Notamacropus eugenii: one gene and its partner. The protein of the gene in region 1 purifies or fractionates together with the protein of each later gene. This does not show direct contact. Links are inferred from orthologs where the notes say so. Each region holds a gene or a part of one and is shown on either strand. Other genes may lie near its edges.

Region 1 (10,166 bases):
AATTCAAGTTTAGTAAGTCCCTTATGATTTTTCTTTCCTGTTTACTTTTTCATGCTTCTCTTAATTCTGTGTTTCAAAGTTAAATTTTCTATTCAGCTCTGGTCTTTTCATCAAGAATGCTTGAAAATCCTCTATTTCTTTGAACGACCATTTTCCCCCTAAAGTATTATACTCAGTTTTGCTGGGTAGGTGATTCTTGGTTTTAAACCTAGTTCCTTTGACTTCTGGAATATCCTATTCCAAGGCCTTCAATCCCTTAATGTAGAAGCTGCTAAATCTTCTGTAATCCTGATTGTATTTCCACAGTACTCTAATTGCTTCTTTCTGGCTGCTTGCAATATTTTCTCCTTGACCTGAGAGCTCTGGAACTTGGCTACAATATTCCTAGGAGCTTTCCTTTTGGGATCTCTTTTAGGAGACAATTGGTGGATTCTTTCAATATTTATTTTGCCCTCTGGTTCTAGAATATCAGGGCAGTTTTCCTTGATAATTTCATGAAAGATGATGTCTAGATTCTTTTTTTGATCATGGCTTTCAGGTAGTCCCATGATTTTTCAATTGTCTCTCCTGAATCTATTTTGCAGGTCAGTTGTTTTTCCAATGAGATATTTCAAATTGTCTGCTATTTTTTCATTCCTTTGGTTTTGTTTTATCATTTCTTGATTTTTTTATAAAGTCATTAGCTTCCATCTGCTCTTTTCTAATCTTTAAGGAATTATTTTCTTCAGTGAGCTTTTGGATCTCCTTTTCCATCTGGCCAAATCTGCTTTTTTAGGGCACTCTTCTCTTTATTGGCTTGTTGGATCTCTTTTGTCATTTGGGTTAGTCTATTTTTTACAGTGTTATTTTCTTCAGTATTTTTTGGGTCTCCTTTGGTAAACAGTTGACACGTTTCATGATTTTCTTGCATCACTCTCATTTCTCTTCCCAATTTTTGCCCTACTTCTCTGACTTGATTTTCAAAATCCTTTTTAAGCTCTTCCATGGCCTGAAACCAATTCATATTTTTCTTGGAGGATTTGGATGGAAGAGCTTTGACTTTGTTGTCTTCTGTTTGCATGTTTTGGTCTTCCTTGTCACCAAAGTAAGATTCTATAATCTGATTCTTTTTTTGGTTTTTGCTCATTTCCCCAGGCATTTGTTTGACTTTTGAGCTCTTTGTCAAGGTAGATCTCTGTTTCCAGTGGGGGTAGGGGGGTGTACCATCAGCTACTTGATTCCCTCCATAATCTGTGGCCTAGAGCTCCAGAAAGAGTCACTGTCTTTGCCTCTGCTGCTGCTGTGACTGCCACAAGTTTCTCCTCCCCATTCCCCCTCTGCCATTCTGGTGCTGGGGCCAAACCACTCCACTTTCACATGCTGGTGCCATAGACTTTTTCCACTGACCTTCCAATTTGTCCTCAATAATCCTACCCCCAACCCCAGTCTTAGGAATTAGAATCAAATATTAAGATGCGGAAGCAAGTAGATTGTGGTAGCTAAGTATCAGTATTAGGTGTTATGGCTGAAAAATCTTAGTTTTGCCCATGATCCTATACTGTCAGTATTGATACTGTATATGGGGGAAAAACAAACTTTGTACATTGCTTATAGCTCTTGTTTTGAGAGGATTAGGGATGAGGGGCATAGGGAAAGGTGGCATATGAATGAAAGATAAGTTGCTTGTAGTTATTGCTGGGGCAGCTCAGTGGTACAGTAGAGAGCACAGTAGGGCTAGAATTAGGAAGACTCCTCTTCCTGAATTCAAATTGATCTTCAGACATGTACTAGTTGTGTGACCCTTGGCAAGTCACTTCAAAGGAAATGGCAAATCACTCCAGTTTCTTTTCTAAGAAAACTCCATGGACAGTAGACAAAGTCCTTGGGGTCAGGTAGAATTGGACACAACTGAGTGATTGAACAAGAACAATTTATTGCCAGGTGCTCTTAAGTCATTAATGACCTATAATAATGTCAGTTGTGGGAACTCCAACTAACAGTCTTAGAGAGTTACCTAAAGTGCAGGAAGATTAAAGGACTTGCCCAGGGTCATACAGTAAGTATTTGAGGCTGCATGTAAACTTAGGTCTTCACTGTATTTTTGTGCTCTAGCCACTGGACCACAACTCAACTCAACTCAGTTCAGCAAACAGTTATTATGCAGGCTTTCTTCATGTGAAATACAATACTCTACATATTCAAATTCACTAGAAAGATTAATTTTGTTTGTTTAGAGAAAGGGTAGATGGCAAAAGGTATATGCAAGTGTGTATGCATATATGTGCATGTTATATACGATTTATTAACTCATTTTGTGGAGCAGTGGATAGAGTAGTAGACCTGAAGTCAGAAAGACTTGACTTTAAATCCAGCCTTAGTCATTTACTAGATGTGCGACCCTGGGCAAGTCACTTTACCTGTGACTGCCTCCTCAATTTTGAGAATCAAATGATATAATATTTGTAACTGGAACATAGTAGGTGCTTAGCAAATGCTTTTTCCCTTCTCTTATTTATTGTTCATTTTCTCTGTTAACAAATTCCTATCTAGACTGAGGAGGTATTACACCCCTGACCTCTTCACTAAGTGGTCCCTCTTAGCTGTGGTCCCACTCATGCATGCCAATCACTTTCAGTCCCCAAAAAGTCTGACTGCAAGGATTTGGCTGCTTGTCTAATATTCTTTGGCTCTTTACATTCCCTTGGAAAAAATTACATCTTAGATTTGACTTATATCTAGGGTCTTCCCAGAGGAAAGATTTATCTATTGTAAAACATGAATCAGGTAAGAGATATCTATTTCCTGCATGCAGAAGTAATGCTTTACCCAGCGGCTCTCAAAAACTTTCCCTGCCAGAAGGATACAAGAGAATACAGCTATTTCTAACTATTCTTATATTTTGTGGAGTGTTTAAGACTTAAACGTCAGAATTTGGAGGACCACCAAATGGCCATTGTTACATTTCACCTAAGCTCTGCACTGTACAAATAACTGTCCAGGTCCATGTTTTTTGGCAAGCCACACCAGGGTTTGTGGCTCCTCTGACTAATGGTTATCATAAAAAATAAGTGCTTGAATTATTGCTGGGGACTTCTGAAGTGAAGTCAAAATCAAATGAAGACAACTCAGGATCCCCTGATATCTTGAACTTACAAGGTCACTTCCAAGTCTGGACTACCTCAAGATTGATGTTTACTTATCTCGGCAAAGAAACATAGCACAAAATGTAGCCAAAGAGCAAAGCTGATCCCTCCCCCTTTTCCCCTCTGTCTTCTCTCTACTCCACTGCTGTGACTGCTACAGGCAACTCCAGGGGTTTGTTATTCCAAAAGCACCCAACTGTTGAGTGAGCATAAAGGATCACAGGAAGCAGACAGGGTAGTTTTTCACAATCCCTGTTACATTATCTTTCTCCATTCTAGTATGGAGTGGGAGTTAGAACTTAGTATTGAAGGCTATAGCTTAGCAAACCCTACTGGGAGGCTACTTGTTTAGAAACTTCATTCAAGTTATTGTTATAAGTAATTATTATAAGGTCTTAGCAAACAAGTATATATTGGGTGTTGCACCCTTCTCCCTGCAGAAGAAAATGAAAAATGCTTCAGTGTTCACAAATATGTGAAGAAAAATAATAATAACTGAATTTGTATAGCTTTAAGGTTTGCAGAGTACTTTGCATATATTGTCTCATTTAACTCACACAAGGAGTCTGTGAGGTAAGTGCCATAGCCAGGGCTACATGCTTTCCACAACATTCTTGAGTGCAGCCAAACCAGAATGAAATGCATTTGGAAAATCTTAAACAAGATAAGAAAGAAAATACCATGAAACATAAATAATATTAAAGTTTAAAACTTAGTCAACATGCAGTCTATAGGGATCCTTATGTATGCATATGCCCTGCTCCTATTTGAGTTTGAAAGTAATAAAATGCAGGTCTTCTAAGTTCAAAGTCTAGAAATCTATCCATGAGGTCAATCAAATGTATATATATTTAAAACATATGTTTGCACAGGCATGTTTTTAAGAGAGGCAGCTAGATGACTCAGAGGATGGAGCACTGAATCTGGAATCAGGAAGACCTAAGTTTGAATATTGGCTCAAAAATGTTACTATTAATTGCTAGGATTTATATAGTGCCTACTATGTGCCAGGAACTTTACAAATACTATAATTTTCTATCATCACAACAACTGTGGCAGGCAGATGCCAATATTATCCCCATTTTCCAGTTTAAGAAACTGAGGCTAAGTGACTTGCTGGGGGTGACACAGGTAGTAATAGTGTGAGGCCAGATCTGAACTTGGATGATCATGACCCAAGCCCTCTATCTTGTGTCACCCAGTTTGGTTAGCTGGGTGACCCTGGGAGAGTCATTCAACATCTCTTTGCCTCAGTTCTCTCATCTATGAAACGGGATAATAATCATCATGGCACATACTCTCCAGGGCTGTGAAGATAAAATGGGATCATATTTGTAAAGTACTCTGATAGCCATTATTATTAAAAAATAATAACCAGCATTGAAATGCTAGTCATTATTATTATCTTAGCATGAATATGACCCTTTAAAGTTGGCAAAACACAAATAATTATCTCACTTGATCCTCACAACATGCTGTTAACATTCAGTTTCACAGATGATGAAATTGGAGGCAAGCAAAGTTAAATAACTTGCCCAGGGTCACACAGACAGAGATCACATTTGAGCCCAGGTCTCCCTGGACTCAGGGATGTGCCAATAAAGAAGGTGACAAGAAAAATCTTTTAATGATTCCTCTCCCCTCCATGTCTGATCTCTTAAGATTACATGCCAGCAATTTTTTCATGGGTAAGGGGAGAGGCAGGAACTCATAGGATCAGATCTGGAAGGGATGTCACCTTCAGTGCCATCCATTCCAAATTTCTCATTTTTGAGGTGTGTGTGTGTGTGTGTGTGTGTGTGTGTGTGTGTGTGTGTGTGTGTGAGAGAGAGAGAGAGAGAGAGAGAGAGAGAGAGAGAGAGAGAGAGAGAGAGAGAGAGAGAGAGAGAGAGAGAGCGGGAAGGAGTGGGAAAGGCAGACAACTGGTGCCCATGGAGGTAAAAGCACTCGCTTTACATCACATAGGTAGGAACAGGCAGAACTAGAACCCAGAACCTCTAACTCCAAAGCCTGCACTCTTTCCACTGTGCCGCTGTATTTCTCTAGGTTTAGTTAAGAATTTTAGCAGGTAGCCTCGCTTCCTGGTCATGCACTGCGGGGATAAAGACGAGTCAGCGGCCCTTGACAGCAAGAATACCCTGGGATAAATAGGATAAAAAAACAAACAAAAAGAAAGCTGTTTGAAGCGAGCTCTCCAGTAAGTCCCACGTCCTTCCCCTTGTTTGCTCTTGCTGGTGATGGAGATCGCCGCTATGGGGCGCTGATGGTACACAGCACCCGAGGGAGGTCCCCAGTTCCCCTGAAGCGCTAGGACCAGGTCATTAACGCTAGATGTCACCTGGAGCAAGCGGGGGGCGAGGAGACCGGGAGTGAGACGCTATAAAAAGAGACAGAGTCGGGCAGTTGTGCACTTCGGGGGCACTTGCCTAGAGTTGGAGGGCTGGAACAGCCAGGAGACTGGGGGAGGAGAAAGGGTACCCAGAGGGGTACTGCAGTTTCCGTCCCTAAGGAGGAGAAAGAACCTCGAAGACCAGGAGAGAGAACCCAGAAGAGGTGCAGGTTAAGCCTCAGAAGAGGAGGGAGACTCAGGGGATGAGAAAGGAGACCCCAGAGGGGAGGGTGCAACTTCAGCTCCTAAGGGGAAAGAAGCCGGACACCCCAAGGAGAAGGGGGATCTCAGAAAGGGCTCAGCTTCAGAACCCAAGAAGGAGGGGGGTAGATCCTGAGAGAGAAGGGGTGCAGCTTCAGCCGTAGAAGAGGAGGAGGGGGACCTCGGGGAGGAGGAAGGGAACTGCAGAAGGGGGTGCAACTTCAGCTCCTAAGGAGAAAGAAGAGGTAGGAGAGGGACCCCAGAGGGGGTCCAGATTTAATTTCTGCTTCGTCTTAACCTAGAGTGCAACAAGCGATCCATCCTCACCCCCATTCCCTCTCCGTACTGGGTATTTGCTTAGTGGAGGAGTAGGAAAAATCTGAAAGTTGTCCGGGGGTTCCCAAGCCCAGAGCGATGGAGACGCAGGGGCTTGAGGTAGGGGGAGACCCTGCCATTTTATCTCAGGACAAGAAAATGATGGACAATAGCAGTAGGTTGCTTAACTACTCCTGGCAGGATCCTGGCCTGGCCGAGAGCACCGTGAAACGACCCACATGGGTACCTTTTACTCTCGCGACCATCCTCATCTTTACTATTGTAGTGGACATCTTGGGCAACATCCTGGTCATCCTTTCGGTATATCGGAACAGGAAGCTGAGGAATGCAGGTAAAAATGACTCTTGGGAGCCACGTGGGGAATGGGAAAAGAAACTCAGAAAAAAGGGGTGACAAGAAGTCGAGGTGAAAAAGGGGGGAGATGATACCCGGGAGAGGCAACTAAAGTCTTCCTGTTCCAGTCCTAGACTTCTTTCCCTCTGAACTCTCTCTCAGTAATGAATCAAACTCTACCCTCCCTGCATTTTCTCTCCCCAACTTCTTTTGGATCAGAACAAAACTTAGAGACACATCTTTTCCCTCTTGGTTATCTGTCTATCTATCATCTATCTATCTTCTATCATCCGTCTATCTATCTTCTATCACTCTATCTATCTATCTATCTATCTATCTATCTATCTATCTATCTATCTATCTATCTATCTATCTATCATCTATCTTCTATCTGCCTATATATCTATCATCTATCCAACTCTGTCTCATTTATTTATTTTGCCTGAAGACTTTCCATAAGAGTTCATAGATTTTAGTAGTAAGCATTCTTTTCTTTATAGTGTCCAACCTAAAATGCTCTTTTGAAAGCAATATATAGTCTTCAGATTACCAAAAAAAATTACCATTCAGTTTTGCTAAGGTTGCTTTCTATTTTCTGAAAGAAAATTTAAAATGCAACTTTTGTTTCAAGTTGTAGAGTTCATTAGACTATTAGATACACATCTCAGTAGGTTCCTAAAATCAACTTACTTTACACCAGGAGTTTTTAACCTCTTTTGGAGTATCATGGACACCTTTGGCAATCTGATGAAACCACTGCATCTCTTCCCTTAATGTTTTTAAATGAATAAAAATTTATACGATTGCAAAGTAAACCAGTTATATTACTTATCAAGTCATTTTTAATTAAAGTTTATGAATCTCAAGTTAAGAGCCCTTACTCTAATCTATTTCCACAATTTGAGTTCTTTATTTTAGTCATTTGTCTTGAAATATGTGTTTAGAGCTGTATATGATGTTTATATATAAATATAAGAAATATAAGATATTTAGATATCTTAACTATTAATATGAGAGAAAATGCAGCAGATATTATGGTGACCAGAAATTCTGTCTTCTTTATTTCCACGTCTTCTCCCAGTGCTTAACAAATATTCACTGAATAAATCAATGGATGAATGAATGAACTATAAAAATCCTCAGAATTCATTCATGACATCATGGATATGGCCAATTAAGTATCAGTTTCTTTTTGGTTTATTCTTTTGAAACAGTCATGGTTGTGTCAAGGTAGACATTTTTATGTTGGGTTTAAGAATAATTTTGTACTTGAGTTATAGCTGCTTTTTCAGTGAGCAACTGAGGATAAATGGTTTATTTCAGGTGAGTTTTTGCAAACTCTTCAACAGCTGGAGAAAATTAAGTATTTCAGCATCATATTTTGGCATTGTACACTGATGCAGTGTTTGCCCATTTGTGAAAGAATCATCCAAATGATTTATACACCTACAAAGGAAATTGACATGGGAGATGGGACTAGTAAGCAGGCACATAAGGGGATTGCTTCATGCATGATGAGGCACTTGGGTCGAGCCTTGAAGGAAGATAAAGTTTCTGAGAGGGAGAGTTGAAAAAGCATAGACTGCATTATAATTATAAGGGAAAGGTCTATGTGAGTTCACAGCAGTGAGTGATAGAGTATTAAGTCAGGGGAAATGATTAGTAATGTAATACAACTGTTACCTACAGTTTTTTTATTCAATGTACATGGAATCTTTTTTGATATGGATGATTTCTATTTGCATAGATTAGGGGTGGGGAACCTGCTGCCTCAAAGCCACAAGTGGCCTTTTAGGTCCTCAAGAGCAGGCCTTTGGCTGAATCCAAACTGCTTGATAAAATAATTATAAAAACTGTGAAGTTGAATTCTTGGGTACATAAAGGGTCACATGTGTTCCCCGCCTCTGGTGTAGATGACAGCTTCAAGACATCTCATAATATACAGTCCTTTTCTATGTCTTCCCATGTTCCCCCCACCGCAGGAAATCTACCCAGTTTGAAAAAGAGAAAACCAACTATACTCTTTTAACTGGGTATCAATGTGATTTTAAACTCCTTGCAGATAGGAATGATTTATCACACTAGGGAAAGATTCCTCATGAGCACCAAATAAATACTTATGCAATATTCTTGGGAGTTCATGGATTTCAACAGATTACAAAAGGGATCCATGACACACAAAAATGTTAACAACCTCTGGCCTAGAGATTAAGTGTCCAGAAACAATATCAGTATGTGCCAGAGACAAGAGTCTAGCCCTAGACTTCCTAGTTCTAAGACAAGCTTTCTATCCACTACACCACACTGCCTCAGGTACATGACCGCATGGAAAATTGTAACTTAAAAAAAAGCTTTAACTGTGTCCATCCAACTTTAATTACAATTTATTCAGGAGCTTCATGATAAATATTTTATAAATTACAATAATGCTGCTACTGAGGAAGAATATTAAATGGCATTTTGATAAGAAAAGATAACAGACATACACGTGTAGTATTGCCTTGCTGGGATTTTGCCTATAAATATCCCACTGGTGTTTTCTGGAATGATCATTTTTAATGCTAGCCACAATAAAAAAGACCTCTGCACCTGGAGGACAGTTTGTAATATGGTTCTTAGACAGATGTAGTTATTTTATGTGACTCACCAAAGACTATTATGTAAAGCCTTATTGCCTTTCATTCTCTTTATTCCTGCTGGATTTATTGTGTTGACAATATAGATGGTTGGCTTGGGATAGAGAAAAAAGAGGAAAACCTCTAAGAAATCTGACTTTTTTTTCCTTTGGAGACATGAGGTAAGTCATTTTACTTTTAAAAGAATTGTTTAGTTCATTTGTTCCTGAAATTCTACTGAAGGATCAAGTTGAGTTTTCTCTCTTTCCATGCAAACCAAAGAGTCTTGCTCTTCTTTCCAGCATCCATGGGTTCCCTAGAAGGTGGTGGTGGTGGTGGAAGAGTTCAGTTTGTGGATAAGACAGTGTGAGACCTTGAAGTTGAGAGCCTTGACCTAGAAGACCTAGATTCTATACCTTGTTCTGCCTTTAATTAGCCTACGACTTTAAGCTAGTCACAACTTTTCTGGGATTCAGTTTCTTTGTAATTATATAAAGAAAAATCTACATAAAATAAATGTGTTGATATGTACTTTGTTCCTGAAAATTTATATAAAAATCAAATTTAGTTTTCTCCTAACATGGGAAATGAGACCATGTGTTTTTTAATTAAAAATGAATTTTAAATTGAAGCATTACAAACTCCATGTAGCAAACCTTTGAACTAACAGAATAAGTCATGCAAATTTTCTTAAGGTGGCAAAATTTCATGTCTATTTTAAAACTAGAAAATCTGTCATTGAAAATCAGTTAAATCTCTCTCCACACCTCCAAAAAGAAAAGTCAAAATGATGTCCAACTGATGTTGAATCAATAGTATTTCCTTGCTATGGTGAAGGAACGATCATCATCATTACTACCATGTACTGAGTACTGAGAAGCTACAGAATTGGATGTGATGTCAGGAAGATAGGTTCAAAACTTACCTCAGACATTTACTCATCATCTATTGATTAGTTTTTAATCCATAATCTAGGGATATCATTTCACTTAAAAAATTAGAGACAAAATGCAGAACAATTAAATTTGAATTTTGAAGATTTCAAGTGTGTATAAATGTTTCTGAGATATTTTCCATGTTTAAAAAGTTAACAGACCTTTTTTTTGGAAACTGGCTTATTGCCGTCTATGAACGGAAACATATAAGTTTAAGAAATACAACAAATATTAA
Region 2 (10,070 bases), on another chromosome or scaffold:
GTTGCCACATTTGGACTCAGTCCAGGATGTGCTTATAAAGAAAGGAGAAATGATACCAAAAAAACAAACAAACAAAAAATCCCAAAAAACAAAGGTAAGAAAAGCAGCTGGACAAGACCAGATATAATTAGAGGAGGTCAGTGCTGCAGGCAGTAGAGTTTCGAGAGCAGTGATATTAATTAGTCAGGTGACTGAAGAAGGAGAAAATACCACAGCTGTAGAAAAAAAATTCAGACTTTATCACTAGCAAAAAAACCCAAAAAAAACAAAATAAGGAAATAACAATGATCACCCACGCATACGCCTATTTTCCCATCTTCTTACATATCACTTTGCTCCATGCATTCCATGCTCCAGTGATCTAGTCTACTTGGTCGCTGCTGCTGCTGACTCATTTCAGTCATGCCCAACTGAATGCCAAGGCGATATTCACAGCAGCCACTATGGATATGCAGGCATATTTCCAGGATAAATTTACAAAATATAAACTCTCTTCTTCAAAGACAAAACCAAAATATTTATTCAGATACCAGAAAGTCAATTCCACCATGGTAACAAAGCAGTTTATACATATCACTAACAGAGGGAACGTTGACATCCCCAAGTCTTCCCTCCCTTAGGCTTCTCCACAAACAAGCTCGTAGGCAAAATTCCTCCCTCTCTCACTTACACTAGCTGCTCTGCCTCAACTCTGCCTTAGTCTCTCTTAGCTCCACCATTTGGCAAGCTCCAACCACCATGGGCTTCATGTGACTCAAGCTGTGGGCTGGGCCAAAGCTCAAAGCAAGTCACATGGGCCTATTAAGGGTCAGGGAAGATCTTCAAATTCCCTTAATATTACACCAACTCTTCATGACCCTCTTTGGGGTTTTCCTGGCAAAGATACTGAAATGGTTTGCCATTTCTTCTCCAGCTCATTTTGCAGATGGGGAAACTGAGGCAAACAGCATTAAATGACTTACCCAGGGTCACAAAGCTAGTTAGTGTCTGAGGCCAGATTTGAACTCAGGAAGATGAGTCTTCCTGACTCCAAGTCCAGCACTCTATCCACTGTAACACTGAGTTGCCCTTTTGGTTGATTGATCACATACAATTTTTACAAAAATAATCTTTGCACACATTAAGCACATCCTTGATAAGGATGTTAGAAAGTGGCAGGCAGGGCTTCATGAGTGATATTCCATACGAGAACACAGCTCTGATGTTGTCGTTACCGGTGTTCAGTTGCTTCAGTTGTGTCTGACTCTTGGTGACCCCATTTAGGGGTTTTCTTCTTTGCCATTTCTTCTCCAGCTCATTTACAGATGAGGAAACGCAGGCAAACAGGTTAAGTAACTTGCCCAGGGTCACCCAGCTAATAAGTGTCAGAGGTTAGATTTGAACTCAGGTTTTCCTGACTCCCGACCCAAAACTCTGACCATTGCACCACCTGCCTGCACTGAACACAATTTTACCATCACACAATTAACTGGAAGATGTTTATAGTATAAGAACCAACTGTCTATCACTTATCAATATGAAAGTTTGATATAGGGAATAAAATGCTGTTTTTAAAAGCTATCAATAAATAGATCAAACACTTATTAAACATTTACTATGTGCCAGGGATGGGGGCAAAGCTATAACAAGCTTGTTCAAAGACCCTTTCATTCATAATATGAAGTGAGGCACAAAATAAGGAGACATTCTTGCCAAAGGTGTTGGTCACTGTCATGAAGGCTGTCTGGGCCAGAATCCAAACTGAAGAGGGATTCCCTATAGAGGGTCAGGTGCTTCAGGTGTGACTGATTGTGGAGTATTGCAGGGGCTTAAATGAGATCAGTGATCACCCAAAATAGCTTAGGGTTAAAAAAAAAAGTGGGTGAATAATGTCTATTGTCCTTGGCAGAGTGGTAGGTTGTGGACAACAGGTGTGGAATGAGATATATGCAGCCCATGTTTTAGTTTATTTTGCTTGACTATATGTATTGGTTACAATAGAAGTTTCTATTGAGTGAGGGTGGGGGGCAAGGTCATTGATAAATGACAGTTGTTAGAAAGAAAGAAAGAAGGAAGGAAGAGAGAAAGAAAGATGAAGGAAAGGAAGGAAAGAAAGAAGAAAGAGGGAGGGAGGGAAGGAAGTCAACAGAACATTTTAAAAGAATGCCTAGAGGCTAGACTATGATATACAGCTGGATGAACAGCCTATAGAGTTCATTCATATGTGTGACACATATTGAAAGTAGAAAATAGTTTGGGCCCCAGAAATCCACTGGTTGATGTTCAGGTGTTTTCAGTTGTGTCTGACTTGAGATCTCCTTCAGGGTTTTCTTGGCAAAGATACTGGGATGTTTTGCTATTTCCTTCTCCAACTCATTTTTACAGATGAGGAAACTGAGGCAAAGAGGGATAAGTGATTTGCCCAGGGTGACACAGCTAGAAAGAATCTGAGGCCAGTTTCTTGACTCCAGGTCTGGCACTCTATCTACTGTGCCACTTAGCTGCACCCCACCCCCATGACTGATGGGATCAAATAAAATCCTCTTTTTTGGCCTTCAAAGACCTTTACAACCTGGCCCCTTCCTACATTTCCAGTTTTCTTATCCTTTATTCCCATCCAGTCTGGCCTGCAGGATCTTCCTACCCTAGAATATTCCTCCCCCATGCTGGTCCCCTTCTCCCATTCCCGCAGTTTATGTGGTATGGTGGATGGAATTCCAGACCTGAAGTCAGGAACCCCCAGACATGGGCTGTGTGACCTGGCAAACCACTTAACCCTTGTCTGCCTCAGTTTTCTCAGCTGTCAAATGGGGATAATAATAGCACCTACCTACCAGGGTTGTTGTGAGGATCTGAGATATTATTGGTAAAGTGCTTAGCACATATAATAGATATATAATATATGACATATAGGAGATCTTTAATAAATTCTTATCTTCTTCCCCTACTGAGATCTCTGTTTTGGAGATGGGCCTAGGCCAGTCAGGCTTAATTCTTAACTTAATTCTCCTAACTTAATAAATGCTTGTTGACTGACTGACATTACAAACAAGGCATTATTACAAAGGAGAAACAGCAGAAAATGTGACCAAAATGGTGCAATCAGGCTGAGAGGGAAAACTGACCGGCAGTCTTAGGGCTTCCAACATATTTTTGTGCCATTAAGAGGACTCTAGAAAGACGTTTGGATCACTGTGGGTGATGGTTCCTCTGTGTCGAACTCTAGGGAGAACATGTACAAGGGTCACCTAGGCATAGGCAAGTATAGATGGGCTGCAATCCGAATCATTGGAGGGAATTTCCACATCAGTGAGGTCACAAATCCGACTGAGTCTTTGAAGTATAAAAAGTTATTATTAAAATTTATATTGACCTTGACACCTTCCACGAGTCCCACTTGCCCAGCTGTTATCCCCTCTCCCCTTCCTCCCTGTCTATATAAATTCTTGGAGACCTCAATCACCTTAAGTCCAATAGGAAGTCTTCCATGACCACTACCCTTCGTTATCTGGGCTCCAAGAGATCCTGAGGCCCTCAACCCTTCCATCTGAGCCCACTAAAGCCATTCTTGTTTCTCAAAGTCCAGTTTAGGTGCCTTCGTTGGTCCCCTCCAAGCTGAAAAATGTTCTTTCCCCCCTAATTTTCCTAGATGATTGTGTAAACCCTACTGAGGGAATTTTTTCATCCTTGTACTTCCAGCCTAGAGTTAATTTTTTTTTTTTAAATCACCCCTGGCCTCTAGTTTTTAATTTGGAACCTTCCTCCTCAGATATCATTGTGAACTCCATGGTTAGCTGAGGGCTAAGCTTCTCCTCTTACAGTTCTCCCAGTCAGGCATAATACACACACACACACACACACACACACACACACACATATATATAATTTTAGACATAAATATATTCATATTTACAAATCACTGTATATATAAATATATCCATTTTATATATCACTTTATATATAAATATGCTCATATTTATCTATCACTTTATATGTAAACATATCCATATTTATACATAAATATATCCACATTTATACATAAATATATCACTCCGAGGTCCACAAATCACTTTACATTGAAGCTTTTCCATAACCCTGGAAGGCAGGTGATACGACGATCTCCATTTTACAGTTGAGGAAGCTGAGGCAGGCAGAGCTTCAGTGACTTGCCCCAACAGGGTCCCCACCCTCAAGGAGTTCACAACCTCAGATTCAAGAGGAACTTTATTCTAAACAGAGGGCATCTCTGCCTGAGGTCACCCTGGTTGGGGAAGCCAGGTGTCTCGGCTCCCAGTCTGGAGCTCTTTATCACCTCAGGGAACCCAAGAACTCACCCCTTCTTTCTTCCCTCACACAACCCTACTTCCCAACACTCTAAGCTATCCGACCAGACACCCACACTTGGCTATAAGTGGATTTGTCAGGCTATTTCTTGAATGCTCTTGTGAATGACCCTTAACCTTTGCCTGCCTCAGTTTCCTCAGCTGTAAAATGGAGATAGCCTACCTCCCAAGGTTGTGGAGAGGATTCAAAGGAAAGTGTTTTATGGACCTTAAAGTGATATATATCTATCTATATACCTACCTACCTATCTACCTATGTATCTATCTATGTATCTATCTACCTACCTACCTATCTATCTCTATCTGTCTGTCTATCTATCTATCTACCTATCTATCTACCTATGTATCTATCTATGTATCTATCTACCTACCTACCTATCTATCTCTATCTGTCTGTCTATCTATCTATCTATCTACCTATCTATCTAATCTATCTATCTATCTAAACCTTCTGCGGAAAATCGTGAACTTAGGCTATACTTTAGTCTATTAAAGCATATTTTAGAATAGGAAAAAGCCGGGGACGTGGAACCACGTGCTGCGGTTCAGTTTCCTTCTAAAGAGAGCAGCCAGCTCTACCAACCTCGGAGTGGGGGGGGGGGGGGAGAAGAAGATACAAAGTGACAAGTGAACGCTAATTATTATTATTATTACATTAAACCACGCCCCCAGCCCAGGCTCCGAGAGCGGGGACTCCCCCCACCCCCATTTCACAGCTAAGGATTAAGTCTGCCCCAATCCCGGGTCCCGCGCTGCCGCCCCACCCGTTCTAGCTCCGCCCACAGACCCACCCCGACCATTCCCCGCCTCGGATCCCGCCTCCCCCCCAATCCCCGTCTCTGATTTCGTTCTGGCCCGCCCCCAATCCAATCCCCACCTGCGATCGCCCCTTCCGTTCCTTCCCCGCCTCCCCTTTACCTCACTCATTCCTCCATCCAATCCCCGCCTCTCGTCCCGCGCTCCGGACCCGCCCCCGGGCCAATCCCCGCCTCCGGGTCCGCTCCCGTCCCGCCCCACCCCGCCCCGCCGTCGCGGCCGCTGCGGAGGAGCCGGCGCCGCCCGCAGTCGCTGGGAGCTCCTCACACGAGCGCGGTCCGCGGGGTCCGGGCAGAGCGCGCGGAGGCGGGACGGGACGGTACGGGGCCGGGCCGGGGCCAGGCTGGGCCGGGCCGGCGGGATGGGGTGCACCGTGAGCGCCGAGGACAAGGCGGCGGCCGAGCGCTCCAAGATGATCGATAAGAACCTGCGGGAGGACGGCGAGAAGGCGGCGCGGGAGGTGAAGCTGCTGCTCCTCGGTGAGGCTGTGGGCCTGAGCCCCGGATGGGTCCTGGGCCCCCCACCCCGGCGGCGCCCCCCACCCTCCGGGCTCCTCGGGGGCCTGTCCGAGGGCCGCTGTCCTCCTGCCCCCCCAACCGCCGTGCCCCCGCCTTGGAGCCCCCAAACTCTTGGGTTCCCCCGCACCCTCAGAATCTCCGCCCCCACTGCCTGTTACCCCCCCAAATCCCCGACCTGCCCTAGTACCTGGGGTGCATCTCACCCCAGATCCCCAAACCCTGGCGTCCAGCTCCGCCCCCCCAATCCCAGCGCCCCTCTCTTATTTGGACCCCAACCCCCCGGTATCCCACCACCTTGACCCCCAACCGCGCCGGAGCCCCTGGCCCCCTCATCCACACTCTTGCACTCATTTCTGGCCCCAAATCCTTGCCTTCCTATTTACACCCCTGAACCCTAGTACCCGCAAGCCTTACGAGGCCCTCCGAACGAGTGCTTCCCCCCGCACTCACAAGCTCACCCCCCATCCTCTCCCGCTGCTCCCCAGTTTCGTTGCCCACTCTCTACGTTCCATTTTTACAAGGCAGGTTCTCCCAGATCTCCGGCCTCCCCATTACGCCTCCCGAACCCCCCGTCCTGCTCAAGGCTCCCCAAACTGACCCTCGTATCTTCACACTTCTTCTGGCCTCTTGGAATTCCTGCTCCCTTTGAGGGGAGTGCTTCTTAACTTGCCCCCCCACCTCATCAGCCTGGGCTTCCTCTGGCTCCCTCTGTGCCCCCTTAGGGGACGCCCCCCCCACCTGCCTTTGCCTGCCGTCAGTCGCTCATCCCCCGCCGCCGGGCTTTCCACGTCACACTGCCCCCCCAAGTACCACTCGCATCCAGCCTAACCACCCTTTTCTCCGCCCCCCCACCCCGTACCCCCTGGAGTCTCCTGCGAGTTTGCCGCCTGCGGTCCCCGGCTCGACCCGGTCTTTCCGCTATCTCCCCACCCAACCCCACCCCGCCCCTGGGGCAGAGATGGAGAGTCGGGTGGCTGCCTCCTGGGCTTGAGGTGTGGGTGGATTTCCCAAACCCTGAGGGTGGAGGGAAAGCTGCGAGAATCAAAGGCTTTTTCCGACCCATCCCCCCCCCCCCCCAGTTACGGAAACGCCCTGGACTGGAGAGGAGGGCGGGGTGTGTTGGGGGGGAAATAGAGAAGTTCCTCTTGGTGGGGTGGGGGGAAGCTGCCGGCCGCGGGGGTGGGGGGGGCGGGGCCGCCTCGGCCTCCAGGGCCTCGTTCCGCTTACTTTGAGCTTTGGAGTTTCGAGGTGTCCCCCCCCGCCGCGCCCCTCCCTCTGAGCTGGGGATGGGGGCCGGACCCCCTCCGGGCGCCCCGGGGGGACGCTCTCGCCCCCGATCCCCCCTAAGTGCCTGGGCCTGGGGCGGGAGAGTTGGTTTGGATGCTCGGAAAAGGGGATTTCGACTTTTTTTTTTTTTTTTGAATTCTGTTTCCAGCCCCTGGGGAAAATGGTGGCGCTGGGGGAAGGGGAAGGGGGTGGGGAGGGCCGGGAACTGGAGGCAGCTTCGACTTCCCCTTTTCTCAGTCCGCGGGACAGGCGGGGCGGCCGGGGAGACAGCGAGCCCGGCGGGGCCCGGGTGTCCTAGCGAGTGCCCAGGGCTGGCGGGGGCTCCAGGGGGCCTGGGGCCGGGGGCAAGGCCGTTCTCTCCCCGAGAGTTAGGGAAGTCTGGCAGTGCTGTGCCGGCTGGCACCCCTCCCCACCCAACCCCCCGAAAAGAAGCCCGCAGGGAGAAAAACAAAGCGGCTGGGCCGAGCTAGGCCACTCCTCTGGGGTTTGCCTGAAGGGCCCTGGTGGGGATGGACGTATTGTGATCCTGGGAGATGGCATCTGACTCTAGGGAAGTGTGGAGAGGAAACTGCCCAGACTCGGGGAGGCCTAGGCCTTGGGCATTGGGGAACCATCCAAGGATCCCGCGGAGGGTAGGGGGGCGTGTAGCCCCACCTTGTATTCCCTGGGCTAGCGGAGAAGTGGTTCGTGTGGTGTTCCTTATCACTGATGAAATGTTCTGACGTGGAGAGGGGAGGAAATGGATGTACCCAGTGCTGTGTGTGTGCTCCGGGGAAGGCTGAGGCCAGCTGTTTACGGGAGGGCAGGGCAGGGCACAGCACAGCTCTCTGCACAGTTAGAAGCTGCTTCCTGTGCCTGCTTGTGTTCTGAGAGGTGGGTGGAAGCCGTGTGTGGGCTGGTCCCAAGCTGTGGGAGCCTTCTCCACCTTCACTTCGGCCTTCCTCTTGTGATGGGCTCACCTCAGGCTTTAAGTGGCAGGTGGATTATTGTCCTCGTTTCAGCTGGAAGCTTTCCCTAGCAGAGTGCTGTTTTCATCAAGATGACTTCATTCTCCCTTAGACCCCCAAATGGGCATGGCCCTTGCCTTGCCTTCCTTTTGGAGAACCAGAGAGGATAAGTACAGCAGGGCCTTGGGTTAGGAGGAGGAGAGGTTCCAAACCTAACTTGGGGATTCTGAGCCCACAAGGCTGGACTGGGCTGCCTTCTGATCTGCCCCCTCTGAGATTTTTTTAAGCAAGAATAAGCTGGATTTTTTTTCTTCTTCCTATTTTTTTTTTAAATAGCAGCTGTTCAAGTGTAAATAGTGCTGAAGTCTTGAGATATCTTATTCCTCCAGTTTGAAGCCAGAAACAGCTTTGGGCTCCCCTTCAGATGATTGTAAAATGAGACTGTTTTTCACAGGGGAAGATGGGAGAGCTGCAAGCTGGCAGCACCCATCCTCTTTTCTGGATGATGACTAATTAGAGGTGCTATTAGAGGTGGTAATTTCTGGGCACATGCATCAGTTTTAGGGTAATTACAGCCTTATGCTCACCTCCAGCAAAGCCATTCATTGGACTTGTGGGTTTAAGGATCATGGCATCTCCTGTGGCTCCCAGAGAGAATGACTGACCAGGGAGACTTTGGGATGAGCAGACTTTTTCAAGATGGCAACTGAATGAAGGAGAAGGGCTTGCAGAGCTCAGCTCAGCCTCCCACCCTTCTTTCAGCGGCATTTTACTCCTATCTTAGCATGCTGTCCTGGGTCCAGCAGTGTGTCCTGGGCAGAGAGAAATGCTTTTATGGTTCTTGGGTTCTCAAAGTTTCTGAGAAAGTAACAGCGTCCTGGTTGGCAGGAGGAAACAAGCAGCTGAGAATGTGATAGCAGAGTGTGGGGCAGTCTTCTTGGCAGCCAGTGTCTTTGTAAGCCTTGGCCCTCAGATTTGGACGTGACCTCCGGGCTAGCAGCAACCTAATCTGGATTTTGATGTCTCCAGAGTGTCATGTGTAGCTTGGTTTTTAAGGTAGCTTTGATGGATGAGACCTGCCTGTTTGCCTGTGTGGGCTGAAGTACCCTTACCCTGCTGAAAGATTTAATTGTTGAAGGGCTGGCACTGGAAATCTTACTTGGAGTTTCCCCCTGACTAGTTGGGGGGGGGGGGGGTAGTGAGGAAGCAGCTGGACCAGTCAGAGAAGACCTTCGTTGTCCAGCTCCTAGTAGAACTTGGCCTTGGTGGGGCCGGGGGAGGGGGGAAAGCCCAGAGGAAGGAAAAGAGCCGAGCGCAGAGCTCAACATATCCTCTGTCCTGGGAAGCCTTTCTCGAAGCTTTCTCCTTTATCCATTTCTGTGGCTCTTGTCCCTTTCTTTCCCTGTCTTCCTGGCAGTACCAGCCACATTTTAGCCTAAGTGTCTGCCTTTGGGGCCCAGAGCACCCTCTCTAACGGATCCTGCTGTAGGTGCACTTTTTTTCCAGGCACATTGATAAGAACTGTCATTCCTCTAGTGCTTTTAATGCTAACAGAATGCTTTCCATACAGCAGCCATGTGAGGTAGCTGGTTCGAGGATTATTAGTCCCGTTTTACAAATGAGGAAACTGAGTCTAAGATCTGTGGTCACCCACATAGTAAATGTCTCTGGAATCAGCGCTCAGGTCTGCCCTAAGTCTAGGGTATTTGCCAGTATGCCTCACAAGAAAATGAGAAATCTCAGTGTTTAATAATGAATATTTTAATTCAGCAAATATTTATTAAGAGCCCCCGATATGTTAGGCATTCTACCGGGTGTTGGGGATACTATCCCCTGCCGTCACGGTGCTTATAATCTACCCATCCTCCAGTCCTGTGAAGGTGAGTGCAAGGATCCTGTTTTACCAAGAAAGTCCCAGAGGTTCCCAACTCACTGAAGTCCAGGTCTCCTGACCCCAAGGCCAGTGCGGTTTGCAAATGGGAAGGCAGCTTCCACTGGGCTCTAAGCAGGTCCCCTTCTGTAGGTGTGTGTTAAACATGTATTATGTCAGGCCTTGTGCCCATTGCCTGGGAGACAAAGATGAAGTAACCCAGCCTTTGCTCTCAGGGAGCTACAGGTCTAATTTGGGACAAGTTACTTGAGTAACAGATGCCAAGGTGCTAGACAGGAATATACAAACA

What was found.
Region 2: the proteins of MTNR1A (region 1) and GNAI2 purify together in Homo sapiens (tandem affinity purification; 3 studies listed by BioGRID and IntAct, with this or other methods). This does not show direct contact. The link is inferred for Notamacropus eugenii from reciprocal best matches to the Homo sapiens genes MTNR1A and GNAI2.

The regions. Positions count from the first base shown.
Region 1 is NC_092878.1:105,769,219-105,779,384, reverse strand, and holds the start of MTNR1A (melatonin receptor type 1A), read left to right. Parts: upstream 1-5,466; 5' UTR 5,467-6,126; coding exon 6,127-6,379; intron 6,380-10,166.
Region 2 is NC_092872.1:5,238,141-5,248,210, reverse strand, and holds the start of GNAI2 (guanine nucleotide-binding protein G(i) subunit alpha-2), read left to right. Parts: upstream 1-5,358; 5' UTR 5,359-5,499; coding exon 5,500-5,617; intron 5,618-10,070. UniProt on the Homo sapiens protein: Guanine nucleotide-binding proteins (G proteins) are involved as modulators or transducers in various transmembrane signaling systems.